4 linked regions of the Stegostoma tigrinum genome follow. The protein of the gene in region 1 binds, or shares a complex with, the protein of each later gene. Links are inferred from orthologs where the notes say so. Each region holds a gene or a part of one and is shown on either strand. Other genes may lie near its edges. The genes, in order: med1, med25, med20 and med16.

Region 1 (7,269 bases):
AAAATATGAGCCTTATTATTAAGGCTCCCATTCATTACACATACTGGATTGTACTTAACAGGATGTTGTTGGGCTTTATTGAGCCAGTGCAACTTATGTGGTGAAGACGCATCTACAATGGCTTTAGGTAAAGAACTCCAGGAGTTTGACAACAATAAAAATATGGTCAATATCAATGTTCATGTATACTTGCTGCCCTGATTCTTTGTGAAGGCTGCAGATCTGGGAGATACTGCTGAGGACACACCTTAGAGAGTTTTTTTTCCACAGTGCAGTATAGACAGTACCGTAGACAGTTTCCAGTCAACCTGTTCAAAAATATTATTACACATGGCTGGGGCAGAGACAACTTGAGCAGGGATGTCCTGCCCCAGAGATAGGGATACTGCTGGCAGAGAGGATGAAGGTTTAAAGTATTGGCTAGGCTCCCAAATACATGCATTGTTTTTATCCATGAAAATTTTTGAAGTTCATGAATAGAGCTAGAGTCCACCTATCAAGGCAAGTGGTAAGTTTTTCATATAATTTTTGACTAGGGCACTGTGGTTAGGAGAATGGCTTTGAGCAACATGGGTTGCTGCAGAGTGCACAGTCTCTAATATACCTTCAGAGATAATGGGAACTACAGATGCTGGAGAATTCCAAGATAATAAAATGTGAGGCTGGATGAACACAGCAGGCCAAGCAGCATCTCAGGAGCACAAAAGCTGACGTTTCGGGCCTAGACCCTTCATCAGAGAGGGGGATGGGGAGAGGGAACTGGAATAAATAGGGAGAGAGGGGGAGGCGGACCGAAGATGGAGAGTAAAGAAGATAGGTGGAGAGAGTATAGGTGGGGAGGTAGGGAGGGGATAGGTCAGTCCAGGGAAGACGGACAGGTCAAGGAGGTGGGATGAGGTTAGTAGGTAGATGGGGGTGCGGCTTGGGGTGGGAGGAAGGGATGGGTGAGAGGAAGAACCGGTTAGGGAGGCAGAGACAGGTTGGACTGGTTTGGGATGCAGTGGGTGGGGGGGAAGAGCTGGGCTGGTTGTGTGGTGCAGTGGGGGGAGGGGACGAACTAGGCTGGTTTAGGGATGCAGTAGGGGAAGGGGAGATTTTGAAACTGGTGAAGTCCACATTGATACCATATGGCTGCAGGGTTCCCAGGCGGAATATGAGTTGCTGTTCCTGCAACCTTCGGGTGGCATCATTGTGGCAGTGCAGGAGGCCCATGATGGACATGTCATCTAAAGAATGGGAGGGGGAGTGGAAATGGTTTGCAACTGGGAGGTGCAGTTGTTTGTTGCGAACTGAGCGGAGGTGTTCTGCAAAGCGGTCCCCAAGCCTCCGCTTGGTTTCCCCAATGTAGAGGAAGCCGCACCGGGTACAGTGGATGCAGTATACCACATTGGCAGATGTGCAGGTGAACCTCTGCTTAATGTGGAATGTCATCTTGGGGCCTGGGATAGGGGTGACGGAGGAGGTGTGGGGGCAAGTGTAGCATTTCCTGCGGTTGCAGGGGAAGATGCCGGGTATGGTGGGGTTGGAGGGCAGTGTGGAGCGAACAAGGGAGTCATGGAGAGAGTGGTCTCTCCGGAAAGCAGACAGGGGAGGGGATGGAAAAATGTCTTGGGTGGTGGGGTCGGATTGTAAATGGCGAAAGTGTCGGAGGATGATGCGTTGTATCCGGAGGTTGGTAGGGTGGTGTGTGAGAACGAGGGGGATCCTCTTAGGGCGGTTGTGGCGGGGGCGGGGTGTGAGGGATGTGTTGCGGGAAATACGGGAGACGCAGTCAAGGGCGTTCTCGATCAATGTGGGGGGAAAGTTGCGGTCCTTAAAGAACTTGGACATCTGGGATGTGCGGGAGTGGAATGTCTTATCGTGGGAGCAGATGCGGCGGAGGCGGAGGAATTGGGAATAGGGGATGGAATTTTTGCAGGAGGGTGGGTGGGAGGAGGTGTATTCTAGGTAGCTGTGGGAGTCGGTGGGCTTGAAATGGACATCAGTTACAAGCTGGTTGCCTGAGATGGAGACTGAGAGGTCCAGGAAGGTGAGGGATGTGCTGGAGATGGCCCAGGTGAACTGAAGGTTGGGGTGTAAGGTGTTGGCGAAGTGGATGAACTGTTCGAGCTCCTCTGGGGAGCAAGATATACCTTGCTTGTCTGAACTGGTCTGGAATTGTGTGATTTCACTGCTGTTTATGTGGAGGGATTGCCTATTTGTTTTTAGATTGGTTTTTTACAATGCCAAATGCAAGGATTAGCAGATAGGGACTTCAAACCATGTAGAGTATTTGCATTCTGGTGGTCCCACATAACACCAAGTTTCTAGAACGTTGCAAACAGGGAGATGGGGCAAACTGCTGAAGGAAGTTGAATTAACATGAGGTAACATTAGGCAAGTTGCTATCAGAACAGTCTCTTGTCCGTTTTCAGGTTTCCTCTTCTCCTTCTCTATACCCAAGGTGTCATTGTCAGCAATTGCTAGTTCCAGCAGGAAAAGTTATTTTCTTCTTCCTTTCCATATCACATCCTGTAGTAATCTAAAATAATGAAGAAAACCATAATATTTAATACATAAAGTTAACATTTTTAATACTCAGGGAGTGGTAAATCTTTGGAATGCTGTGATTGGGTTGTGAAAGCTCAATCATTGGGCATATTCAAGACAGAAATAAATTAAATTCTTTAGATTAGTGGCATTAAACAATTTTGGAAATAACATAGAAAAATGACATTGATGCAGTTGATCAGTAATGATGTAGTTGAATTACACAGCAGCCTCAATGGGCTGAATGGCCCACTCCTGCACCTCTGTTCGGATATGTCCTTAGAGAATCCACATGCAGGGCTGCAGCTGCTACTCAGGGCCTTCTTCCCTTCAAAAAAATGGCAGCTTCTCCTGCCTAAGCATAAAGTGAAGTGAACCTGCCAGTGTCTGAGCTATCCCTGCAATATGAGACAGCAGTAAAGCACTGTCACCCATGGTCATGCCCAATTCAACTGGCTGCATCCTTCCCACAAGAGATTCCCAACTCCTACCAGTGCCAAGAGCAGGCTCAATGATAATGAGATTAAATCCCACTCTTTTTGCCCAAGTTGACCGCACCCTAAATTTCTATGGATCCTTACAGCTTCTGCTACAATTCATATCAAATGGGATTCATTGATCGCTTCAAGTTTCTATTAATTTGCATTCTGTCACCCTGACAGCCCTGCATTTTGCTTCATTTCGGTACCTTTTGGTACTTCTGGGATGAGCAGTGAGATGTGAAACTTCACTATCTCCTTATTTTATTTTCTTTTAGTTTAGTTTTGCTTTTACATTTTGCTAATTTGTCACCGATGTCTTGTAATTTAGTAAAGCAATAATGTCTCTGAGAGACATTAGTGTAACACATGGATTTTCATCATATTCCAGTAATGTCATTACAGCTATTGTTGTTGCTAAATTTTTAATCCAGACTTTTTAAAGTAACTATATTTTAATCCCCCAGCTACAAGCGACCCTGTCTCATTGTGAACTATCTACGTAATATCACACACATACAGGGTACTGAAATAGCTCCAACGAGGCCGGTATCCCATCACCAAGTCACCCTTTATTTACACATGGAGAGTCAGTAACACTGCTCCAGCTTCCTTAGAGCCAACTCTCAGAGTGAACAGAATCTCTGACCCGAGATAGTGGGAGCTGCAGATGCTGGAGAATCCGAGATAACAAAGTGTGAAGCTGGATGAACACAGCAGGTCAAGCAGCATCTTGACCCACCTGTTTATATCTGTCAGCCAGAGCTCACTGATTGGGGCAGATTAACAGTTCCAATCAGAGAAATCATATTCTGGTTGACCACATTATGATAACTACAGATACAGTTACACTCCCCTTGAAAATTTTAAGTGGAAATTCTATCCATGAAGTTGCCTTTATCGCTTTCATTAGACAACATGGTTCCTTTGTCTCCATCACTTCTGGGATGGCATAAATGAAATTATCCTTCAGTTGTTTCACAAATCTGTGTCCTCTGTCTATCTTCCTGGAAAGATTTAAAAAAGGAGTCTTACGAGGAGCAGGAGGAAGCCTGCACAATAAGAAAGATCCATAATTTCAACAAAAGGGGGAACTTCTGAACAATTTTATTCAATTTGGGGAAACATTGCAGTTTGGGTGCAGTTTCCCCCAGTTTGCCTCCAGGGGGCGATATACCAGCTTCAGTGACGTCTTGATCCCTTGCGTCGGATGTGACGCCGTTAACCTGCGCGGCCGGGCCGAGCGAAGGGGAGGAAGGGGAAGATGGCGGCGTTGCAGGGGTTCCCCGTTTCGGTCTCTTACAGCCACAGTGGCTGCGTCGACACATCGGCCGGGCCGCAGCCCCAGCACCAGCCGCCACACGCCGAGCGGAGCAAGGAAGAGGCGACAGGTAAATAAAGGCCGGTAACCTCGAGGCGGGGGTCTCGGTCTGCTGGGGGCCAAGGAGCTCCAAGGGCAGGAGACCCCAGGTGATCAGAGGCCTGAGGCTGGGCATCGGCCCTCGGTGGGGGGGGGGGGTCTTGGGTGGGCATCGGCCCTGGAGGGGCCAAGGTATGGGAACCTGAGGGTAAGGATTCGACCCAGATGTTAGGGGCCTAAGCATGGGTATTGGAGCCAAAAGGTCAGGGCTTGAGTGTAGGCATCCATTCCGACGGGCAGGAGCCTGAAAGTGAACATCTGGTCTGAGAGTTAGAGGCCTGAGGCTGGATAATGGACCAGAGGGGTAAGAACATTGGGTGGGCTTTGGTTCTGGAGGCTGTACGTAAATGATTTGGAGGAAAATGTATCTGATCTACTTAGTAAGTTTGCAGACCATACAAAGATTGTTGGAGTTGAGGACTGGAAGGAGGATTGCTTGAGGTTACAGCAGGATGGAGATCAGTTAGGCGAATGGGCTGAAAAGTGGCGGATGGAGTTTAACCCAGACACACGTGAGGTGAGGCCTTTTGGACGGTCAAGTACAGGTGGAAATTATACAGTGAATGGCAGGACCCTTAGGAGTGTTGACATGCAGAGGGATCTGGTTGTGAACGTCCACAGATCACGGAAGGTGGCAGTGCAGGTAGATAAGGTAGTAAAAATGGCTTATGGTATGTTTGACTTCGTTGGAAGGGGCATTGAGTATAAGGATAGACCAGTCATGCTGGAGCTTTATTGAACTTCACTTGGAATATTGCATACAGTTCTGGTCACCACACTACCAGAAGGATGTAGATGTTTTGGAGAGGGTACAGAAAAGGTTTACTGGGATTTACTGGCTGACGTGGCGACCTGATAGAAGTTTGTAATATTGTGAATGGCATGGATCAATGGAAGTATAAGGCTTTATCCCAGGGTGGAGGGGTCATTTACTGGGCCACACAGGTTCAAGGTGTGAAGGGGGAAGTTTAGAAGAGATGTGTGAGGAACATTTTTCACACAAAGGATGGTGAGTGCCCGGAATGCGTTGCCAGAGGAGTTGGTGGAAGCTGATACAATAGCAGCATTCAGGAAGAACCTGGACGAATATTTGAATAGGAAGGGAAAATAGAGATACAGATTCTGGAAGTGAAAACAGTTCTAGTACGGAAGGGGAAAATGTCAGTGCAGGCTTGGAGGGCTGAAGGGGCCTGTTCCTGAACTATATTTTTGTTTCTTGGGGCCTAAGGGTGGGCATTGGACCCCAGGGGTAGGGACCTCAAAGCATAACGGAGGTATTCGTGACCTGCCCCTTTACTGAATTCAAAAGCAATTATTAAATGACATGAATTACCCCCCGCACCTTTGGCTCCACATTGAAAATCCCTCACCTGCACAAGCTTTCAGGCACTGGTGGAAGATTTGGTTACCCTCTTCATCTATTGCTTTATGTGACAACAGGCCCAAGCCCTTCTTAAATAGCTGAATTTATTAACCTGAATGGGTGATCTGTGAGCTCGTGCATCCTAGGTCCTGTTGGATAAAATCAAAAAGTGGAGTGATAAGTAGGATTGATTGAGTTTATCCACCAATAAAAAGGTGACATGATACTCTGTCTATCTGGACACAATCTTTCCCATCAAAATTGTGTTTGTTGAAATTTCAACAGTTCAAGTAAACCTCGTATCAAAGTTAGATGTGATTATCCTTACAATGACTGCAGTCATCAAAACATTGCCATTTAATCTTTGACTAAAATTTTTCAGGCCACTTCTGTCATCACCAATGTCATGAGGCTCTTTAAAAGTCATTGAGGGCAAATACACTTTATTTGTCAATGAATACCACTACTTATTTCAGGCTTGTGTGAGTGATGTTCCTTATAATTGTACTGCTTGCTAGATAAATCAGGTCAGTTTATTTCGTCCATAACACTTATGGATGTACCCTTAGTAAATGGCAGAACCAGATGAGGCTGCAGATAAGTGTATAGGAAATGGAAACTGAAACTCCACCATGTGTGCCATGGAGATTCAGAAACGGTCACTTTCATATTGATTTGTTTATGACATAAAATCATAGATTTGCAGCATAGGGAGATTCTCAACCCATCGTATCTCTGACTGAAAAAGAGCTAATCAGCATAATTCCCCCATTTCTAGCCCATGGTCCATAATCTCCACATGACAGCGCTTCAGTTGCATGTCCAAATACTTTATAAATATAATGAGGTTTTATTCATGTACAATCTTTACAGGCAGGGAGTTGCAGAACCCCAGTACTCTTGTGAAAAGATTTCTCCTTAACCCTGTTCTAATCCTTCCACAAATTATTTTAATTAGTTTATGATCTCTTTTGCTAAGGGAAATTGGTGCTTTCGAGATTGGAAGTTTGTTTCTATTGGATTTTGTAAGAGGTTGAGTTGTAAGCGATATATAGCGATGGTTTATACTTAAACGTAGGTAGCATGATAGTGAAGAAATTGGCAGTAGACTGCATGAAAATATGTGTGGATTGGCCATCTTGTCAGAGAAGTGTTGAGTAGGAATCATTCCAGAGAAGCCTGGGGTAATGCATTTGGGGAGGGTCAAATTTACTGATAGGTTCCTGAGAAGTAACAGAGTAACATTGGAGTGCATGTCCATGGATCTCTGAAGATAGTCGTAAGATAGGTAAAAATATAAAGGCTGAGAGGTTATGACGAATTTGTACAAAATAAAAGCAAATTACTGTGGATGCTGGAGATCTGAAGTGAAAAGAGCAAGAACTGTAGAATCTATGCAGGTCTGGCAGCGTCTGTGGAGGAAGAAAAAAAGTTAACATTTGAAGTACAGTATGACTTTCGTTTGGAACTGTGGTTAC
Region 2 (7,075 bases), on another chromosome or scaffold:
AAAATAGAGTCATCAGCCCTTTGCTTTCCCTAATTCTTGCTGAACTAGAATGCTAGCATGTAATTTATACGTCGGCCCCAAAATATAAAGTGCTGTGGCTTTCTGAAATATTTCCCCATTTAAATGATATTCAGCTTTTCTGATCTTCCTGCCAAAGTGCATAACCTAACATTTTCCCACATTATATTCCATCTACCACTCACTTAATTTTGCCATTCACTTAACCTGTGTATATCAATTTGTAGACCGCATCATTCTCACTACTTGCTTCCCAACCGTTCTTGTGTCGTCCACAAACTTAGTGATAGTATATTCACAATCTCATCCAAGTCATTAATATATATTCTAAATAATTGTGGCCCCGTACTGATCTTTGTGACTTTCTACTAGTTATAGACTGCCATCCTGAAATTGTTCCTTTTTTTCTACTCTGTCTGCTGTTATTGAGCTAATTTGCTATTCATCCTAATATTATTACCACCATCAACGTGGTCTCTTATCTCTTATTAAGTTGCCTTATGTGTATGCCTTTTGGAAATCTAAATCTATTACATCTAAAATTGCCCTTTATATATCCAGCTTGTTACCTCCTCAAAGAACTGAAATAAATTTATCAGGTTTGATTTCCCTTTATAAAGTCAAGTTAACTGCTTGATTATATTATGTATTTTTAAATGCCTCAATATCATATTCTTTATAATAGACTCTCATATCTTCCCAGTGACAGTTGTTAAGCTAACAGGCTTATAGTTACCATTCTTCTTCATTTACCTCCCTTTGAATATGGATGATATGTTGATAGTTTTACAATCTTCCGTGCTTTTTCAAAATCTAAAGATCCTGGATGTGAGTTTGCTCACTGAGCTGGAAGGTTAGTTTTCAGACGTTTCATCACCATTCTAGGTAACATCATCAGTGAGCCTCCGACGAAGCGCTGGTGCTATGTCCCACTTTCTATTTATCTGTTTAGGTTTCCTTGGGTTGGTGATGTCATTTCCTGTTCTTTTTCTCAGAGGATGGTAGATTGATTTGGAGCCAATGTGTTTGTTGATGGAGTTCCGGTTGGAATGTCATGCTTCTAGGAATTCTCGTGCGTGTCTCTGTTTGGCTTGTCCTAGGACGGATGTGTTGTCCCAATCAAAGTGGTGTCCTTCCTCATCTGTATGTAAGGATACGAGTGATAGTGGGTCATGTCAGGAGGAAGGACACCACTTTGATTGGGACAACACATCCATCCTAGGACAAGCCAAACAGAGACATGCACGAGAATTCCTAGAAGCATGGCATTCCAATCGGAACTCCATCAACAAACACATTGATTTGGAGCCAATCTACCATCCCCTGAGGAAAAAGAACAGGAAATGACATCACCAACCCAAGGAAACCTAAACAGATAAATAGAAAGTGGGACATAGCACCAGCGCTTCGTCGGAGGCTCACTGATGATGTTACCTAGAATGGTGACGAAACGTCTGAAAACTAACCTTTCAGCTCAGCGAGCAAACTTACATCCAGAACCTCAACCTGAGCTACAAATCTTCTCAAAACTCGCTAAATCTAAAGATGCTTGGAAAATTATCATTGTGCAAGAACTATCGCTTTAGCTCCTTGTTTTAAAACCCAAGAATGTAACTTTTCTTTTGTGATTGTTATTTTATTTCCTGCTCTTTTTTAACTCTTTGATTGTTTAGCATTTTTAGATTGCTTTTAATGCCCTCTTCAGAGATCTGATGCAAAATATATATTCAATTCCTCTGCCATTTCTTAATTCCCCATTATTATTTCACCAGCCTTATTCTCTAAAGAGTCCATGTTAACGTTGGTATCTCCCTCTTCATTTTTATGTTTTTAGAGAAGCTCTTGCTGTCAGTTTTTCTATTACTTGCTAGTATGCTGTTTTGTTTTCTCCCTCTATTTTTAGTAATCTTTGTTGACTGACACATTACCAAACATCCAGGAATATCTCCAAACAATACCCTTTGTACTTCTTGCTTACATATCAAGCATCTCTGACCCACATCCTCTTGGAATAGGCAACCAAAGGCAACTCAGGAATTTTGTAATAAAACATTCTTCTCCAATCATGGACAATCAAGGAATAAAGTATCCAAGAAAAGGGTAATGTCCCAATTATAACAAAGACAAAATGAAAAATTAAATGGAAAGTAGTAAACACAAAACCCCTAAGCCTCATCCTTCATACACCTCTGCTCCAACATTTTCCCCCATCATCATCCATGCCACCTCATGACCTCCACCTGTCCTCCACTGCTGACCCCTCATAATACCATGTTAAGATTAGACTAGATTCCGTACAGTGTGGGAACAGGCCCTTCGGCCCAACAAGTCCACACTGCCCCTTGGAGCATCCCACCCAGACCCATCCCCCTATAAAGCTTTGGCACTTCCATTTCTTTTAGTCCACTATACACTGTATAAAACCAATGGATCTTATAATACAATTGTATGTGCAATAAATCACTAATTTATAACTTTGCAAATTTATTTTTAAAAGATTCCTTATAAAAGTGTTGTTCATCCAGACCCTGATAAGTATTAATAACAGAAACGATAAGCTTTTGAAACATTCCAATTACGGATTGTGGAGATCAGAGTACCAGAGCTGTCAATCAAGCAATATTTTCCCTGGGACTGTGCCACAGCGCAGAATGGATTCTCAGGCGCTTAGCCAAGTCATATTTTGCAATTCAAGTGCACTCGGGCTTTTTTTCTGAAAGAGTACGACATTCAGAGAAAGAAATGTGCAGTCTGCTAAGAGTAAATAGTGATCATAGTGTATGTAGGAGTTAACGTTGAAAAAGAAAGACGTGACCGTGGATCTTTATTGTCCTACCAACCTGTTAAAAGTACCACTGCAAATTCTTGTGCTGCCGATCCCTGAAGAATGTCTGATTTTTCACAAGTGAGTTGTTGAGGTATTCAATACTCAACTGCTTTAACATACGAAAGGCAACTTGACGTATTTCATTTTTTTAAAAAAACACATGTCTCCAATATTGAAATGGATTTTATGGTCTGATTTGTCCCTTTGGCCATCGAGTTATAGGGATCTACAGCGCGGAAAAACGCCTCCGATCCATTATCTTTCTCACTGCTAATATTTCTTGGCATGACCAGGAATCAAGTGGTCGTCTCCAATAAAGGTTAGGCTTTATTCTGAAAAATGGAACAGAAACGAGTCGCTATCTCCTTCTGCAGTTCGATGTAAACTATGTTTGATAATCTCTCTTTCGAAGAAATTAAATGGGTTTCAGTACTTTAAAAATAATAAGTGAACGCAAACTGTTGTATACTAATTCCACAAGAGAACAAGACTTATTTTCTAAACAGCAAACTGACTTCCCGATTTAGGACTATTTTCAGTCAGTAATTTGCTGATCACCATGGCAATGGCGGCCAAGGGGGCGGCTTTTGGGACGTCATCTGAAAACGCTCTATCAATTTCCCTGAGAGCCTGGAAGCGGGTGTGGTCCAGCAAGCACGTTGGCCGCCGCTTTGGTGTCACGTGATAGATAAGGGCGCCGTTTTCTCGCAGCTGGGGAAGGCGATGACCCGTCAAGTGCATGCAGCTCAACCAATGGTGACGACCGGGATTAGGGGGCGGGGCTGCATCTGATTCACGTGACGCAGCTGACTGGCGAACTGAAGGCGGTGTAGGATATGAGGCTCTCATGGGCGGGACTAAATAGACGTTACGTGACGCGTCATTTGGTGCGAGAGTGGGTGAGTAAAAGTGGCATGACGGCACGACGTCATGTGATGCACGTTGGCGGGCTATTTGTGTTCACCAAGAAGGCAAGAGGGTCAGGCTAGAGTGGGCGGCACCCATGTTCGCGGCGACACGCGTGGAGAGGCAGGACTGTCAGTGTTACGTTTTTTAATGGGTGGGGCAGGTGTCGGGGGCGTGTAAAGGAAGCGTGGTCTGGGCACGAATAGGCGGGGCGCCCCGTTTTGTCATGTGACGGTTGGAAACCATGTGGGCGGGTACCGTTTTGTGTGACGTTTTTTTGACTGGCGTGAGGTGGGCGGGCGGGTTTGTGGTATCACGTGAGGTGGCTGTTTGCGCTCGAGCCGCTTTTCTCCCGCGGCCTGGTGGAAAAGGCTGAGGGAAGATCAGCAGAAGTTGCAGTCAGATCGAAAAGATTCAAACGCCCTTTACTGCGATGTGGAAAGGCGAGAAACCGCCTGTGAGGTTCGTTAATCGTTAAACGGCGAGCCTCTTCTGTGTGAATGACTGTCATATAAAGGGGAGGAGCCCCCGCTGTAGGGCAGTTATTTATTGGAAAGCAAAACCGATGCTTCACGTTATCACAGTACACGTTTTGAAGGAAATTTTTCATATCTATTATGCGTTTATTTCTTTACGAGACGTCTTGACAGGTTTTGTTCATTTATTTTTTCCAAATGGCAAAGTGTTAATGTTTGAAACCAAAACACACGTTGCTAGAAAAACTCAGCCGGTCAGGCAGCATCTGTGCAGACAAAGTTATCGTTTCGAGTTCAAAGACCCTTCTGCAGAACCAGCAACTTTTGTTTTTTCCCTCCAGATTTTTTAGCATCCACAGTTCTTTGTTTTATTTATTTGGATTCAAGTCCCTACCTGCTCCAGGAGATAGGGACATCAGAAATAAAGTGCTAGAGAAATACAGTGATAATGGGAACTGCAGATGCTGGAGAATCCGAGATAACACAGTGTGGAGCTGGATGAACACAGCAGGTCAAGCAGCATCTCAGGAGCACAAAAGCTGACGTTTCGGGCCTAGACCCTTCATCAGAGACGGGGATGAAGGGTTTAGGCCCGAAACGTCAGCTTTTGTGCTCCTGAGATGTTGCTTGGCCTGCTGTGTTCATCCAGCTCCACACTTTGTTATGCTAGAGAAATACAGTCTGGCAGTATCTATGGAGAGAAAAGCAGTTAAGCTTTCGAGTCCAGTGATCCTTCATCAGAACTGAAAACAGCTGAGAATTGGACTTTTTGCTGATGATGTGGGGTGGGGTAAGGAGAGAATTGAATGGATGGAGATTTAGCACCGTTTCATGGCTGAAAAATAAACTGTAAGTGAGGAATGTGGGTAGCTCTTTATGACTTAAGTGCTTGGCTGTCTCTCTTTATAACTTTGAATTTAGTAAGATCAAAACAGGAGGAGGCCATTCAGCTTAAGCAGTCTTGCCTTTCAGAAATCTCGTAGCTGTCCTCCAACCTTGCTGCATATCGTCACATTTGAACCACGTCCTCTATATTTGGTTAAAAATCTATCAATCTCAATTTTGAAACAAACCATTGCCGTAGCATAAATTGCCATTTGTAGGAGAGAGTTCCTTTCTTAACTTCCTCTGCTTGAAGGGTGATAGTTTGCATCTTCTTCAGTCTTCCCTGGTACCATTCTAACAAAATTGTTGTACTCGCTCAGTATCCTTTATATCCTTAGTCAGTGATTAGTTCATCTCTGGGAACAATTGGGACACAGTTGGTGGTCCTGCTGCACAGAGTGGTCTCCCTGGATCTGGGCCAGAAGAGCTGTGTACAGGGCTAACTTTTCCAGAGGTATAAAAACCAAGTCAGAGTAGATTGATGAACATTGGGGAATAAATTCGATGGTAACAAGAAGAACATATTATGTAACACTTTTTTAATCTAAAGCAGTGTAAGGATTTTGGCACAAAAAGCGAAGTTGCTGGAGAAGCTCAGCAGGTCTGGCAGCATCTGTGAAGGGGGAAAAAAAATCAGAGTTAATGTTTCGGGTCCCGTGACCCTTCCTCAGAACTGTTTTTGGCCCTTTTTTGGCTAAAATTTCAATCTGTTCTCTTTTGGACTGTGGGCAATGATGTTATTTAAAATCTATATATCAAAAATGACTACTCCCTCACACTTCTCCAACTGAGGTGTTTACAGTCAAAACCTAATAGCACCTGTCTTAATTGAATTGTATGTCAATTTTCCAATCCGACTAACCCTCTTTGTACAGTCAACCTCTGTCTCTTCCCTCCACACTCCACTCTTCTTCCTGCCCTGCAGCCAAAAAAAATTACTGAGATGTAAGAATATTGCTACAGGACCGAAACACACACAAACTATAGTGTTATAACAATGTGTAGAGCTGGATGAACACAGCAGGCCAAGCAGCATCAGAGGAGCAGGAAAGTTGACATTTTGAGTCAAGAAGGGTCTCGACCTGAAACATCAGTTTTCCTGCTCCTCTGATGCTGCTTAGCCTGCTGTGTTCATCCAGCTCTACACATTGTTATCGCAGATTCTCCAGCATTGGCAGTTCCTACTATCTCTAAACTGTAGTGTTACCTTGGACGTTAGCCTAACTTGTAATAGGAGTCGTATCTGTTAACAGAACACTTGGTTATTTTTTTCTTTCCATACAGCTGCCCCTGTGTAAAAGCAAAGGCTTCACAGTGACTTGCGAACACCATGGTTGTGCCCCCTATTGATACTCCCACCCCTTCCAACATGGTAGCAGATGTGGTTTTTGTTATCGAAGGTACCGCGAACCTTGGGCCATACTTTGAATCTCTCCGGAAGCATTATATTCTTCCAGCAATTGAGTAAGTGGACCCTGTACTGTTTGTGATTACCCGAAGCAGACCAAGTTGGCTTTTTTCTATGAGGGAATGCTATGATCTAGTGGCTGTGGCATTGTGCTAACGTCCCAAAGGTGCTGTGCGCAAAACCGACTGATTCATTCTTGTTCTTATGGAAATGAAGCCTGTCCCCTCCCTTACCCAGTTCCACCATTTCTTAACTCCTGTACCGGTGTAAGGGAATCACTCCCTGTGCATTGATCAGGTTGATATAATAAATATTTGAAGTCGTATTGTTTGTGATAGGGAATAAAGTTTGCTTCACCATGCTGTAAGGGAGACCCAGATGCTGAAGCCAATGAAAATGATATATGGAGGGGTAGTCAAACAGACCCTTCGAGGAACAAAGTGCAAGATTTTACAGACTGTGCCCCTTTAGAAAAGAGATGACTGAGAGATGACCTGATGGAGACTGAGGATGATTGAATGGCTATACATCAGGAAGATGTTTCCGTATGCTCAC
Region 3 (7,228 bases), on another chromosome or scaffold:
CTTGCAATGTATTCTGATTACCTTGTATGGATCAGATACAAACTTGGTTTATTTGTCTATTCTGACAATAAAAAGTACTTGCAGATGGAATCTTGGCTGATTCCTTCAGTTCTGTTAATTGCTGATTTGGTGCTAACATTTACTTGTTCCAAACTACACTGATTTGTGCATCCATATGCAAAAGTACTTTTAGAAAGTAAGTCACTGTTTATTGTCAGTAGAACAAAGCCTAAGGGGTATATTTCATTTAAAGTAATTCCCCAAATTTTATTATGTGTTATGATTTTATTTCCTTCATTATTATTCCAAAGTGGGAAATAACCTTCTACTTCTGCTAAATTGCACTTCCTTCCTACAAGAATAAATGTTTGTCCCCATAGAACAATATATATCTTGAGTGGTTTCTGGGGTGAAACAAGGACATTATGTGCATTTTTATTAAAAATCTGTATACTTTTCAGGTCAAGAATGGGATGGTGTGGCCTTTGGGAACAGAAAAACCTGCATGAGTGAATAATCATTGTTATAGAACTTTTGTTTTTACTACTGAGACATGATAGATGTCATTTTTGATTAAGATTTCCATCATAGTTCAAAATGCAGGAGGAAAGAGATATTATGCAGTTTTGCACTGTTACTTTTGAGGTGGGAAGAAATGCATTTGAAGGCCACATTCTTTGTGCTTTTAGAAAAAAATTGTCTTTGATGGCCATAGAGTAGAATAGATTTACCTCCTCCAGCTATATTTTTATGTTCTTAAGAGAGCTCTTGTTAAATAACAATGGTGAATTCTCACTCTAAGGTTTAATTGTGACCCCTTTGATCATTTTACAGAGCTTTCTATCCACTGCTTGTTAAACTATTCTTGATCAACCTCATACTCAATTTATTTAAACTGCTGTATAAAAATATTTCACAGTAGTTGTGTTCATGCGTATTATGCATATAATTTGTGATTTTGATCATGATAAATTGAATAAATATTCACGTATAACCAAATACCAGTTTCATTTTGCTTATTGCAACATGTAGATGAATAGGAAGGTTCAGAAGGATGTAGGCCAAATGCTGGCATATAGGTCTAGATTAGGTTAAAATATCAGGTCAGCATAGTCAAGCTGGACCGAAGGGTCTGTTTCTGTACTGTACTACTCTATGACTCCATGTTCTCTTAACAATATAGAACTTTGCTTAAAACAGTCTATTCTGTGTTGACCTATAAAGTTAACTTCTTGTTAATCCCAAATCCAATTGAAAATTAGTTTTAGAGATAATGGGAACTGCAGATGCTGGAGAATTCCAAGATAAAAATGTGAGGCTGGGTGAACACAGCAGGCCAAGCAGCATCTCAGGAGCACAAAAGCTGACGTTTCGGGCCTAGACCCTTCATCAGAGAGGGGGATGGGGAGAGGGAACTGGAATAAATAGGGAGAGAGGGGGAGGCGGACCGAAGATGGAGAGTAAAGAAGATAGGTGGAGAGAGTATAGGTGGGGAGGTAGGGAGGGGATAGGTCAGTCCAGGGAAGACGGACAGGTCAAGGAGGTGGGATGAGGTTAGTAGGTAGATGGGGGTGCGGCTTGGGGTGGGAGGAAGGGATGGGTGAGAGGAAGAACCGGTTAGGGAGGCAGAGACAGGTTGGACTGGTTTTGGGATGCAGTGGGTGGGGGGGAAGAGCTGGGCTGGTTGTGTGGTGCAGTGGGGGGAGGGGATGAACTGGGCTGGTTTAGGGATGCAGTAGGGGAAGGGGAGATTTTGAAACTGGTGAAGTCCACATTGATACCATATGGCTGCAGGGTTCCCAGGCAGAATATGAGTTGCTGTTCCTGCAACCTTCGGGTGGCATCATTGTGGCACTGCAGGAGGCCCATGATGGACATGTCATCTAGAGAATGGGAGGGGGAGTGGAAATGGTTTGCGACTTGAGAATGGGAGGTGCAGTTGTTTGTTGCGAACTGAGCGGAGGTGTTCTGCAAAGCGGTCCCCAAGCCTCCGCTTGGTTTCCCCAATGTAGAGGAAGCCGCACCGGGGAACCCTGCAGCCATATGGTATCAATGTGGACTTCACCAGTTTCAAAATCTCCCCTTCTCCTACTGCATCCCTAAACCAGCCCAGTTCGTCCCCTCCCCCCACTGCACCACACAACCAGCCCAGCTCTCTCCCCCCACCCACTGCATCCCAAAACCAGTCCAACTTGTCTCTGCCTCCCTAACCGGTTCTTCCTCTCACCCATCCCTTCCTCCCACCCCAAGCCGCACCCCCAACTACCTACTAACCTCATCCCACCTCCTTGACCCGTCCGTCTTCCCTGGACTGACCTATCCCCTCCCTACCTCCCCACCTATACTCTCTCCACCTATCTTCTTTACTCTCCATCTTCAGTCCACCTCCCCCTCTCTCCCTATTTATTCCAGTTCCCTGTTCCCATCCCCCTCTCTGATGAAGGGTCTAGGCCCGAAACGTCAGCTTTTGTGCTCCTGAGATGCTGCTTGGCCTGCTGTGTTCATCCAGCCTCACATTTTTATCTTGACAATTAGTTTTGTTTGGAGGGAAATCTTCAGGACAGAAGAAACTAATGTGAAATTACTGGCTTTACTGAATTTTTAAAAAATACTTTTGGCATTTTTAAGTGTGAAAGGCCTTTCAGTCAAATGCTGTAGGTATGCACGTAGAATAAATTAAAGGATCTACTGATTTTCATTCATTTTAGTGGATTTTATTATTGAACTCTATAAAATACAAACTTAAATTCTAACATAATAATAAAACAGAGAACTGTGGTTGTTGAAAATCTGAAACACACAAAATCAGTAAGATGCTATCAGACCTGCAAAGTTAAACTTTATTTTGATACCTAATCTCTTATGTGTTTTTTTCTGGATTCCATTAGTTTGCACAATATGCATTTTGGCACTACATGGGACTTCTTTGATTGAAGTAAAAGGAGACTAACCCTAACCCTAACCCTAAACCTAACCCTATCGCAGGAGACTTTGAGGAGTAGTCATACAGTTATACCGCACAGAAACAGACGCTTTGGTCCAACAAGTCTATGTCGAACATAGTCCCAAACTAAACTAGTCTCACCTGCCTGCTCCAAGCCTCCCTACAAATCTTTCCTATTATCTACTGATCCAAATGTCTTTCAAATGTTGTAGTTGTACCCACATTCATCACTTCCTTAGGAAGTTCATTCTGCACTCAAACCATCCTCTGTGTAAAAAATTTACCCTTTGTATCTTTTTTAAATCTCTCGCCTCTCAATTTAAAAATATGCCCCTGCTCTTGAAATCCCCCATCCTAGAAAGCCACTATTAACCCAGTAGTAGTGAGAGAATAGGAACTGCCGATGCTGGAGAATCTGAGATAACAAGGTGCAGCGCTGGATGAATACAGCAGGCCAAGCAGCATCAGAGGAGCAGGAAAGCTGACTTTTTGGGCCTAGACCCTTCTTCAGAATCTTTCCAGACCTTTCTGAAGAAGGGTATAGGCTCGAAACGTCAGCTTTCCTGCTTCTCTGATGCTGCTTGGCCTGCTGTGTTCATCCAGCTCTGCAACTTGTTATCTCATTAACCCAGTAGTCACTACTGTACTGTAGAAAACATAGTGTCGATGGAAGAGATAATGGGAACTGCAGATGCTGGAGAATCCAAGATAACAAAGTGTGAAGCTGGATGAACACAGCAGGCCAAGCAGCCTCTCAGGAGCACAAAAGCTGACGTTTCATCATTCTCTAATGAAGGGTCTAAGCCCAAAACGTCAGCTTTTGTGCTCGTGAGATGCTGCTTGGCCTGCTGTGGTCATCCGGCTTCACACTTTGTTATAGTGTAGATGGAATACAAGGTGTGGAGCTGGATGAACACAGAAGGCCAAACAGCATCTTAGGAGCAGGAGATGCTGCTTGGCCTGCTGTGTTCATCCAGCTCCACACCTTGTTATTTCAGATTCCCCAGCAACTGCAGTTCCTATTTTCTCTGTAGATGGAATACCTCTTTATTTAAATAAATCATGTGCTTAATTTTGCTTTAAATAATTCCCTCAATTACGGTATGAGATCGTGATCAAGTTTGTCTTAAAGGCAAGAGACGTTTGTAGGAAATGGATCTTTAATGCTAGCATAGCTCCTAAGCCCTGATTCTGAAGACCAGTGGCAGCCAGGAGGTCTTCTTGTCCAGTAGGGGCGCGGTTGCGGGAGAGTCATCGTGAGCGAGGTGAGAGACGCCTCTTGGAAGGTTTGTGAGCTTCGTTGTGGGGATAGCTCTGGGGAGGAGATCGAGGATAGATCGTTACTGGCACCGAAAGGAAAAGCGGAACATTGAGATCTTATCTTAGCAGCAGGAGGTGACTCAGGAGGGTGCTGAAGGATTGCAGAGTTGGAGGAAGAGCCGGAGCTGAGAGGATGGGTGTTACCTGGTGAGAGGCACCTTCTTTATGAACTCTATTCATTAAACAGAACTATCAGTGCGGGGGAGGGAGTTGAGCCTTAGCAACGCTCCCAGACCTGAAGGCAAGTGCATTCAGCAGCCTGTGAGTTCCAGAACAATTTCAAACGTTAAATTTGTATTATATTAGAGCAAAAAAAGGTCACCAAAGCATCCCTCTATGCAAGGAGCCTCTTAATTGCTTAATACATTACAAATCACTGTAAGGTAAAATACTTGTGTCAGATTCGTCAATTTTTATCTTAAAATGTTTTATTTCTGACATGATTACAGATTCTGACCAGTTCCTCTGTACTGCCTGACGTGGGTTTAACTGGAATCCACATGCATGTTAATATTTAGGCCTCTCAGAGGGCTTAAGATTCGAGACTTGCTTTGCTGTCTGTGCTCTGAGTTGTAACTTGAACAAGAAGTTGAGTTTATTTTTGCCCCAGAGTATGGTGGGTGTGTGGAACTTACTGCCTGAAAGTTGTGATGGTAGTAGAAGTCCTCTTCACACTTATAAATCCTTGGATGCTCACTTGAGGTTCCATAACCTGCAGGGTCATAGGCCAAGCTCTGGAAAGTAATATGGGCACAATGGGCCTGAATGGTCCCTGTCACAGCAGTAAATTTTCTACGTTTCAGAGCAATTTTGTTTGAAAGCACCATTAAAGGTGCAGGAAAACAAAAGCAAAGTACTGCGTGTGCTGGAGATCTGAAACTAAATTAAAGAGAAACTTGTATTTGAGGATCTCTGTCACAAGAGAAACAAGCAGTGGAGTTTTGAGTCCAATATAACTCTCATGAACTGTTCGTATTGAACTTGGAACATCTACTCTGTTTCAGTCTCTACCGGTGTTACCAGACCTACTGAGTTTCTCTAGTCCTTTTCTGATGAAGGGTCTGGGCCCGAAATGTCAGCTTTTGTGCTCCTAAGATGCTGCTGGCCTGCTGCGTTCATCCAGCTTCACACTTTATTATCTTGGATTCTCCAGCATCTGCAATTCCCATTATCCCTTCTCTAGTACTTGCAGTTTTCCAGCAAAACTAGAATCAATAGGTATCAGGTGCCAACTCCCCAGTGGTAAGAGTCATACCTGACACACAGGAAGATGGTCATTGTGGTTGGTCAGTCATCTCAGCTCCACCACATCTCTGCAGGAGTCCCTCAGGGTAGTATCCCAGGTACAACCATCTTTAGCTGCTTCATCAGTGACCTTCCCTCCAACATAAGGTCAGAAGCAGGCATGTTCACCGATGTCTGCACAATGTTCGGCACCATTCGTGACTCCTCAGACACTGAAGCAGTCTGAGCCTAAATGTAACAAGATCTGGACAATATCCAGATTTGGGCTGACAAGTGGCAAGTAACATTTGTACCACACGAATGCCAGGCCATGACCTTCACTAACAAGAGACAATCTAACAACTGCCCCTTGATATTCAATGGTGTTACCATCACTGTATCCCCCACTATCAACATCCTGGGGGTTATCATTGATCAAAAACTCAGCGGGACTCAGGTCAGAGGCTAGGAATATTGCAGTGGGTAACATGACCTGACTCCCCAAAGCCTGTGCGCCACCTACAAAGCACAAGTCAGGAGTGTGTTTGGAATACTCCCCACTTGCCTGAATGAGTGCAGCCCCATCAACACTCAAGCTTGACACCATCCAGGACAAAGTAGCCTGCTTGACTGTCACTGAATCCACAACCATCCACTCCCTCCACCAGCGATGCTCGGTAGCAGCAGTGTGTACTATCTATGAAATGCACGTCAGAAATTCACCAAAGATCCTCACAGCACCTTCCAAACCCGCGACCACTTCTATCTAGAAGGATAAGGGCATCAGATATATGGGAGCACCACCACCTTAAAAGTTCCCCTCCAAGCCACTTGCCATCCGGACTTGGAAATATGTTGGCATTCCTTCAATGCTGCTGCGTCAAAATCCTGGAAATTCCTCCCTCATGGCTTTGTGAGTCAATCCACAGCAGGTGGACTGCAGCAGTTCAAGAAAGCAGCTCACCACCACCTTCTCAAGGGCAGTTAGGGATAGGCAATAAAAGCTGGCCAGCCAGATGCACCCACATCTCTCAAAATGAATAAATTTTAAAAGTTTTTATATAATATCAGATGCCCATGTAGACACCAGCAAAAGTTGGTCTTGTCTCCCCGCTCCACACAGCCAATCCTTTGAATGAACGTCTTCTGAATAAAGGCTTATGACAGACAAAGACAAGTTTGGATCCTCAAATGCCAGTGAGAGTAGGTGTGAGCTCAATTTCAAACTTGTGTTCCTGGAGGATGGCACTGAATCCTAACACCCTTGAGGCACTGCTCCGGGAGTGACAGGGAGCTGCTTGCCCCCAGTTAATGTTAAGCTCCTTGAAGAGTTTATTAACTGGGTTGATGTAAAGGTAATTTTCAATGTGAAAATCAACAAACCCAAGCAATTTGGTACACTTTATGGTCTAGATTAATTTAGGGTATCTAGTCAGCATGGATGAGTTGAACCAAAGGGACTATTTCTGGGCTGTACAATTCTATAACGTTATCTGTCAGCTTTAATTTGGGGATGAGTGGAAGTGTTTTCACTACATTGGATCATAGTCATACAGCATGCTCGTTTGGTCCACCTCATCCATGCCAACCACTTGCCTGTATTTGGGCCATACCCCTCCAAACCTTTCCTATTCATATATTTATCCAAATGTCTTTTAAATGTTGTAACTGTGCCCGCATCCACACTTCCTCTGGCAGTTCATTCCACATGTGAACCAATCTCTGCATTTTAAAAAAAAA
Region 4 (7,738 bases), on another chromosome or scaffold:
TGACCGTATCAGGCACTGATTCTTTTTTTCAGACAAGATACTGGATTTTGACAGGTAGTTAAAATATTGCTGAAGACTTTGACTGTAGCATATACCTTTTCTACATGCAAGGCCAACTTGACACCGTTGTGTAGCCACGACAAGGCTACAATGGGGTCCCCGTCCACTGAACTCCCAACTGTGCTATCCCAGCTGTTTACCAGATGATCAGTCATACTCCAGCATTTCACCCGACCATCAGCATCAGCAGATAATAACCGAGAACCTTCAAAGGAGACAGAGTGAAGCAAAATAATATACATTTTAAATAGGCAACTCAATTCAAAAACATACATTTTAGTAACAATTATGATACCATTCAGTTCCTGAGCTAATTTTTCTTTCCAACTACATTAAATTTGAAGCCAGAAGATAATTCAGTCAACAATGTAGCAGCTATCCACATAAAGAAATGTGTATGTCATCTATTCATTATGAAGCATTGACCAGGGTGACCATGCCTCTGCGAAATATCGAGAAAGAGTTTTTCTCTGCATTTTGTGGTAAAATCAACAGTACGCTCTGCATTTTGTGGCTTCCATACATACAGCGTAAAGCAGAAACATTATCTCAACTTTCTACCTAACACATCTTTAAATGAGAGTACAGGCAATAGGGAAAAACATTGAACAGGTCAGATCTTAAGCCCTAAACTTTCTGTACCATCAGGCACCACCAATTAGAAAGAATAACTGATCTTCATCAGATTATAATTTGTTATGCATAGTTATTTATTTATCAAATTTGTGGTGCTCCTACATATCTAGACTTGCCTGTTCATTTCACAATTGAATCTTGTGGTGCTGGGACAGATTGCAGGTTCATTAAAAAAGGCTTACCAGATTGATCCCACTCCAGAGAAGTAATCACTTCATGATGACCTGAGTTAATCGAGTAAACATCCCAAGGATGTTCAGTATCCAAAATGTGAATCATATAAGTAAGATCTATAAAAAAGATACTGTTAGGAAACTCTGTACAGTCTCATTGCTAAAATATTCTCAATTAAGCCATGAATAAGCAAAATACCAAAAAATTCTGGAAACACAGAGCAAGTTGATTGGGTCTACATACTGAAAAAAAAAATACCAGGTTTAGGAACAAATGTAAAGAGAAAGAAAGCTCAATTTCAGGTGGACCGGTCAGCATTCAGTAAGAATGCAAAAGTTGGTACCTCCCACAAGACAGTAAAGCTTGGGGCTTGAACTCATTGTTGCAAAGTATTTATCAAGACCCCAGTATGTTGGAAATTCCTTTCCTTTTAACAAGTGCACTGCACTGAAATAGTTCAAGTTGGCAACACACGTCTAGTTCAAAATTTTGGTTATCATCTTTTGCAATTGTTTAAATCCTGTCAGAGGCAGAACATAGGGAAATTGTTTACAAGCCATTGGGTCAACTATCTTGTCGCATCAATATTCAACTGTTACGGCAAATGCTTTTAACTTACTCCAGTCCTCTGTTTTGACTTCTATTTAGAAGTTACAGTTTCCTAACAGCATCTTGGATATTTGTCATATTTGGTACAACTCCAGTATATTTGAAAGCTTTTCATTTATTTCTAGTTACACTTAAAAAAAAAAATTGGGTTGGAGTTTAAATCAGGAAATGTTATTTTAGTAAATAATCTAAAGCCAATCTCTCTTCCTCTTACTGCTGACAGAAACAAATTTAATTCTCACAATCTGCTGCTTTTGTAGCCACAGTAATTCTTTGAACCTATCCATTTTGATATTTACCAACAGACAGAACAAAATATCTTAATCCTCAGAGGTATGGGCTTTGCATTAAAACAAACTTGTTCAATAATGTCAAGTCAAAAGCATGCAGTGCAAGAAAAATAAATAAATATTACATTTATATAGGACTTTTCATAATGTCAGGATATCTTAAAACACATCTTGAAATAAAGCCACTATTGTAATTTGGGAAATGCAGAAGGCCAAGTTGTGTGGAGCAAAATCTCACAAACAATAATGCAAATGAAAACACTAGTCTGTTTTCAGACATTGATTGGAGAGATAAACAACAATTACTACACCAGAAATAAGCACCATACCCTGCCCTAAATTGTGCCTTGGCATCTTTAACATACATTTCAGAGGACCCCAACAATTCAAAGGTGGTACCTTCTCTCATGGCACATTATTCCCTGTTAAAGTGACTGATGTTTCAGCATGTATTTGTGCTCTACTCTTTGAAGTGAGGCTTGAAGGCACAAGTACCCCTGACCAAGCTGCAAAAATTGATAACTGCAGTATGATAGATTCTGATTAGGTGGCAAGGCTTTCTTTCCCTACATTGATAACCGAAACATAAGTTGATCACCTTAAATTACTGTTGAGATCTTATTCTCTGCAACTGGACTGACATTTCTGTTCACCTAACAACAGTCACACGCTGTTTACCAAGCTGCTTTCAAGTTTGCAAAAACTAGGTCAAAACGTTAGCGAATACTGGAGATACTTAAGAATTTTAACTCAAAATGAACTTTATTACATCTGAACAAATACAGTGAAAAGATGAGGCAGACCAGACCCAAAACCTGACCTTGTTCTTGCTCTTCCTCGTTCTTCAGATCCGTTGTGAAGGCAACCAGGTTTCTGCAGGACCAAGCACACACCAACTGTACAGACGGACAATAATTGCTCTTCGGCCGCTTCTCCCACTCACATACATACGCTATATCCATGTTTACTGTTTCCTCAACGTCCAGAGCGCAAAGGCGCCCAACCAGCAGCACACAGCGCGCAGGCGCGCCTCATCCTGTCCCACTCAGCGCAAGCGCGCCTCATCCTGTCCCACTCAGCGCAAGCGCGCCCATCACTGGATCGGCCTATTGACACGGCGCATGCGTTACTTAGGCGAGAGATAATGGGAACTGTAGATGCTGGAGATTCCAAGATAATAAAATGTGATAATAAAATGTGAGGCTGGATGAACACAGCATGCCAAGCAGCATCTCAGGAGCACAAAAGCTGACGTTTCGGGCCTAGACCCTTCATCAGAGAGGGGGATGGGGGGTGGGAACTGGAATAAATAGGGAGAGAGGGGGAGGCGGACCGAAGATGGAGAGTAAAGAAGATAGGTGGAGAGAGTATAGGTGGGGAGGTAGGGAGGGGATAGGTCAGTCCAGGGAAGACGGACAGGTCAAGGAGGTGGGATGAGGTTAGTAGGTAGCTGGGGGTGCGGCTTGGGGTGGGAGGAAGGGATGGGTGAGAGGAAGAACCGGTTAGGGAGGCAGAGACAGGTTGGACTGGTTTTGGGATGCAGTGGGTGGGGGGGAAGAGCTGGGCTGGTTGTGTGGTGCAGTGGGGGGAGGGGATGAACTGGGCTGGTTTAGGGATGCAGTGGGGGAAGGGGAGATTTTGAAACTGGTGAAGTCCACATTGATACCATTGGGCTGCAGGGTTCCCAGGCGGAATATGAGTTGCTGTTCCTGCAACCGTTACTTAGGCGATGCGGCTCTTTGAGATTTCACTTTGAATTGAGAACGTTTTGTCAATTAACGGATTTCTGTAGTTTTTAAATTATTGATAAATGGTAGAAAGTACAAACATGTTTACATGTTTTCCCTAGGCGATTAGTTTAAGAATCTCTGTTTGTGCAAACCTTCAGATTTTGTTTTTGTTTTGATTTTAAAAGAATGTTAGAATCAAAGGTGCAGTCCCTCATTGACCCATTCCAATTATTGAAGTGTTTATACATTTACTGGTACCTTAGTTAAATTACTGGGAGAATACAACAAATCACTCCATTATCTGAAAGTGAAATGAGAATATAAGATAACAAGGCGTGGAGCTGGATGAACACAGCAGGCCAAGCAGCATCTTAGGAGCAGGAAAGCTGACATTTTGGGCCTAGACCCTTCATCAGAAGGTCTGAAACGTCAGCTTTCCTGCTCCTAAGATGCTGCTTGGCCTGCTGTGTTCATCCAGCTACACTCCTTGTTATCTCGGATTCTCCAGCATCTGCAGTTCCTATTATCTCTGAGAATTTAAGCATATATCTTTTTGTTTCTATTTTACCATGCTGCGGTTTTTCTACATTTTATTTTACATTTTCAGCATTTCTACCCCCTTTCCAGATGCATTTTCCTTATTCTAACAACAGCTTCTCTATTGGGGCACATTAATAAAATATATAAATTTATATAGGCCAAATAGTTATTTGTTACGTGTGTATCACTTTTTAAACACAGGACTTGATACGTTTAAATGACTTTGTAACCTGGGGATCATTCTTGAAGAGAATGAATGTCACCTAAATAGTTTCTAAATCGTAATTGCTGTGGTGCAAACAGAGGCCATTCAGTCCATTGTCTGCAAAAGCCTCTCTGATCATTTCAACTTGGTGCCAAACTCTGCCTTTTCTCTGTAACCCTGCATATTATTTCTCTTTAAATAAATCTTGACATTTCCCATCAAATGTTTCATTTCAATTTACCTCTACCAGGCATTTTTAGGCAAAACGTTATGAATCAGAAACAAAAATAGAGATTGCTGAAAAAGCTCAGCAGGTCTGGCAGCATCTTAGAAGATCAACCATAGATAAAATTTCAAATTTGTTGACCCTTCCTCAGAATTGATGGTAGCTAGGAAAATGTTGGTTTATATGCAGAAGATAGCAGAGGGTAAGGAGTAAATGATAGGTGGGATAAAGCGCAAAGAGAAAGAAGAACAATTGGACAGATGAAGGGCTGGATAATGATCTGGTTAGGAGGATGGATAGCAGTTAATGGGGACCAACAATAGGTAATGGTGAAATGAAAGGGGACTAACAATAGTTAAAATATGTAATGGCAGGTTATATGATAATAAGGCCTGTTGTGTGGGGTTGGGGTCTAATCCATAGGAGAATTCAGGCCCTAAAATTATTGAACTGTATTGAGTCGGGAGGGGTGCGATGCACCCAAGTGGAAAATAAGGTATTTTTCCTCCAGCTTGTGCTGAGCTTCACTCAAACACTACAGCAAGCCTGAGACAAAGATGTTGACAGGGAACAGGGTGTTAAAGTGACAGGCAACTGGAAGCTTAGGGTCTTTTTTGCAGGCAGAACTTAGATGTTCTGCACAGATGTCACCCAGTCTACGCTTTGTTTCTGCAATGTAGAGGAGCCCACATTGTGCGCAACGAATGCAGTGGACTAGATTGTGTGAAGTGCAGGTAAAGTGCTGCTTCATCTGGAAGGTATGTTTGGGCCCTTGGTTGTTGAGGAGGGAGAAGGTAAATGGACAGGTGTTACACCTTTGGCAGTTACAGGTGCCATGGTGTTCTATGGGTTGCTGGGTGTTGTGACCAGGGAGTCACAGAGGGAACAGTCGCTGCGGAAGTCGGACAAGGGAGGGATGGGGAATATATGTCAGGTGGTGGCATCTCGCTGGAAGTGGCGGAAATGGCAGCTGATGATCTTCTGAATGTGGATGCTGGTGGGATGGTAGGTTAGGACAAGGGGAACACTATCGTTTTCTGGATGGAGGAGAAGGGGTGAGGGTGGAAATGCAGGAGATGGATCGGACCTGGTTGAGGTCCCTGTCAAAAACTGGAGAATCCTCAGTTGAGGAAGAAGATGGGCATTTTAGTGGCTGTCTTGTTGAAGCTGGCCTCACCAGAATATATGCAAAGGAGACAGAGGAACTGGGAGAATGGAATCTTTACAGGAAGCAGACTGCGAGGGTGTATAATCCAGGTAGCTGTGGGAATCAGTGGGTTTATAGTAGATATTAGTGGCCAATCTATCCCCAGATATGGAAACAGAGATGTTGAGGAAGGGAAGGGACAAGCCAGAGATAAACCAGAGATAAATGAAAATGAGGGCAGGGAGGAAATTGGAATCGATATCAATTAACTTTTCCAATTCCAAAGAAGAGAGGGAAGCAGCACTGATGGCATTTTCAATATATCAGAGAAAGAGGTGTGGGTGGGGTCCATAATAGGATTGGAACAAGGAATGTTCCATGTACCCCTGAAGAGACAGGCATACCTGGGGCCTAGACAGGTACACATGGCCATCCCTCTGACCTGAAAAAAATGAGAGGAGTTAAAAGAGAAGTTGTTCAGGCTGAGGATGAGCTCGGTCAAATGGAGGAGAGTGGTGCTGGGTGGGGACAGTTCAGGAAGAAGTGGACTGCCCTGAGACCATCCTAGCGGGGTTTGTATGTGTAAAGGGATTACACATCCATGATAAAGTGGAAGTGGCTGGAACCTGCAAATTGGAAATTCCGAAATTGGTGTTAAGCGTCAATGGAATTGCGGATATATGTGGGCAGGGACTGGACCGGGGAGAATAGACTGAATCAAGATAGGAAAAGATGAGTTCTTAGTTTTTGAGAAGATTTGTAGTTGTGTTGTGGATGAGGTTGTACACGTGCTGGGCAACCTTTTTCTTGTCCACATTTGCTCCTTTTACAAAACATTTTACAACTGTGCCTTCTGCATCTTGATCCTCTGACAAGTGAGAACAGTTTCTCCCTATCTATACTGTCCAGTGTCATGAGTTCGAAGGCTTCAGTCAAGTTTCCCCTCCACTTCCTCCATGGCAAGATAAATAGCCCCAGCTTCAGTAATCAGTCCTCATAACTGATGTTTCTCATTCCTGGAATCTTTCTCATAAACCTCATCTGCCCTTTCTACAATACATTCGCATTCCTTCCTATAAAGTCTGGTGCCCAGACTGTTTACAGTGCCCAGCTGAGGTCTAACCAGTGTTTTATATATGTTAATCATAGCCTCCTTGGTCTTGTACTCTCTGAACCTATTAATTAAGCCAAGAATGCTGTATGCTTTATCATTCGGCTGCTCCAGCTGTCTTGCCACCTTTAACATCCTATGTATGTATGCACTGAGTTTTGTCTGTTCCTGCGCACCCTTTAGAATATACCCCTTATTTCATATTGTCTCTCCTTTTCGTTGTACCAAGGTGTATCACCTTGCACTGCTCCACATTGAACTTCATCTGCCACCTATCTACCCAATCCACAACTTGTCACTGTCCTTTTGAAGTTCTGTATGATCATCTTGGCTCTGTTCAAATGTAACCCATCTGTCCTGTAAAGGTACCATCTCCCCCACAGCCAGTTCCAGAAATCTAAAACCTTCCCTCCTGCATCACCTTTTCAGCCACACATTCATCTTTCTTAGCTTTTTATTTCTGTATTCACTTTTACATGGCACTGAGTGACATCTGGAAATTGTAACTTTAGAGGTCCTACTTGCTAAGTTTATACATTGCTTCCTAAATCATAATTGCAGCACTGTATCCTCCTTTCAATCTGTCTCTTTAGTGCCGATGTGGTCCATAACCTCTGACTATTCACCCTCCCCCAGCAGAATGTCTCATAGCCATTCTGTGACAATCTTGACGCTAGCACTAAGGAGACAATGCACCATCCTGGAGTCACATTGATTGCTGCAGAAAGGTTTATCTGTTCCTCCAACTAAAGAATCCCCCATCAATAGTGTCTTCTCTTTCTCATCCCCTCCTGTACATCTGGGTCAACTGTGGTGCCAAGGGTGTGGCTCTTATACTCCTCCAAGGATTAATCCTCTCATCAATATCCAGAATGGAAAACCAATCGGTGAATGGGACCTCTGACTCCTGCTTTACTCGCCTGTTTCTCTTGGACAGACTGGAGTAATCTATTCCCTGTCTGACAACTTGCAGTGGCCACCCCTCTGAATGTGTTGTCCAAAAAGTTCTC

The links.
Region 2: med1 (region 1) and med25 share a complex: the UniProt entries of both Homo sapiens proteins name them as parts of the mediator complex. The link is inferred for Stegostoma tigrinum from reciprocal best matches to the Homo sapiens genes MED1 and MED25.
Region 3: med1 (region 1) and med20 share a complex: the UniProt entries of both Homo sapiens proteins name them as parts of the mediator complex. The link is inferred for Stegostoma tigrinum from reciprocal best matches to the Homo sapiens genes MED1 and MED20.
Region 4: med1 (region 1) and med16 share a complex: the UniProt entries of both Homo sapiens proteins name them as parts of the mediator complex. The link is inferred for Stegostoma tigrinum from reciprocal best matches to the Homo sapiens genes MED1 and MED16.

What each region holds. Positions count from the first base shown.
Region 1 is NC_081384.1:9,381,431-9,388,699, reverse strand, and holds the start of med1 (mediator of RNA polymerase II transcription subunit 1), read left to right. Parts: upstream 1-4,251; 5' UTR 4,252-4,272; coding exon 4,273-4,399; intron 4,400-7,269. UniProt on the Homo sapiens protein: Component of the Mediator complex, a coactivator involved in the regulated transcription of nearly all RNA polymerase II-dependent genes.
Region 2 is NC_081391.1:15,910,884-15,917,958, forward strand, and holds the start of med25 (mediator of RNA polymerase II transcription subunit 25), read left to right. Parts: upstream 1-4,062; 5' UTR 4,063-4,213; intron 4,214-6,396; 5' UTR 6,397-6,442; coding exon 6,443-6,576; intron 6,577-7,075. UniProt on the Homo sapiens protein: Component of the Mediator complex, a coactivator involved in the regulated transcription of nearly all RNA polymerase II-dependent genes.
Region 3 is NC_081374.1:14,512,865-14,520,092, reverse strand, and holds the start of med20 (mediator of RNA polymerase II transcription subunit 20), read left to right. Parts: upstream 1-4,215; 5' UTR 4,216-4,397; coding exon 4,398-4,411; exon of another isoform or gene 4,412-4,505; intron 4,506-7,228. UniProt on the Homo sapiens protein: Component of the Mediator complex, a coactivator involved in the regulated transcription of nearly all RNA polymerase II-dependent genes.
Region 4 is NC_081383.1:28,124,207-28,131,944, forward strand, and holds the start of med16 (mediator of RNA polymerase II transcription subunit 16), read right to left. Parts: upstream 3,025-7,738; 5' UTR 2,732-3,024; coding exon 2,590-2,731; intron 987-2,589; coding exon 879-986; intron 266-878; coding exon 96-265; intron 1-95. UniProt on the Homo sapiens protein: Component of the Mediator complex, a coactivator involved in the regulated transcription of nearly all RNA polymerase II-dependent genes.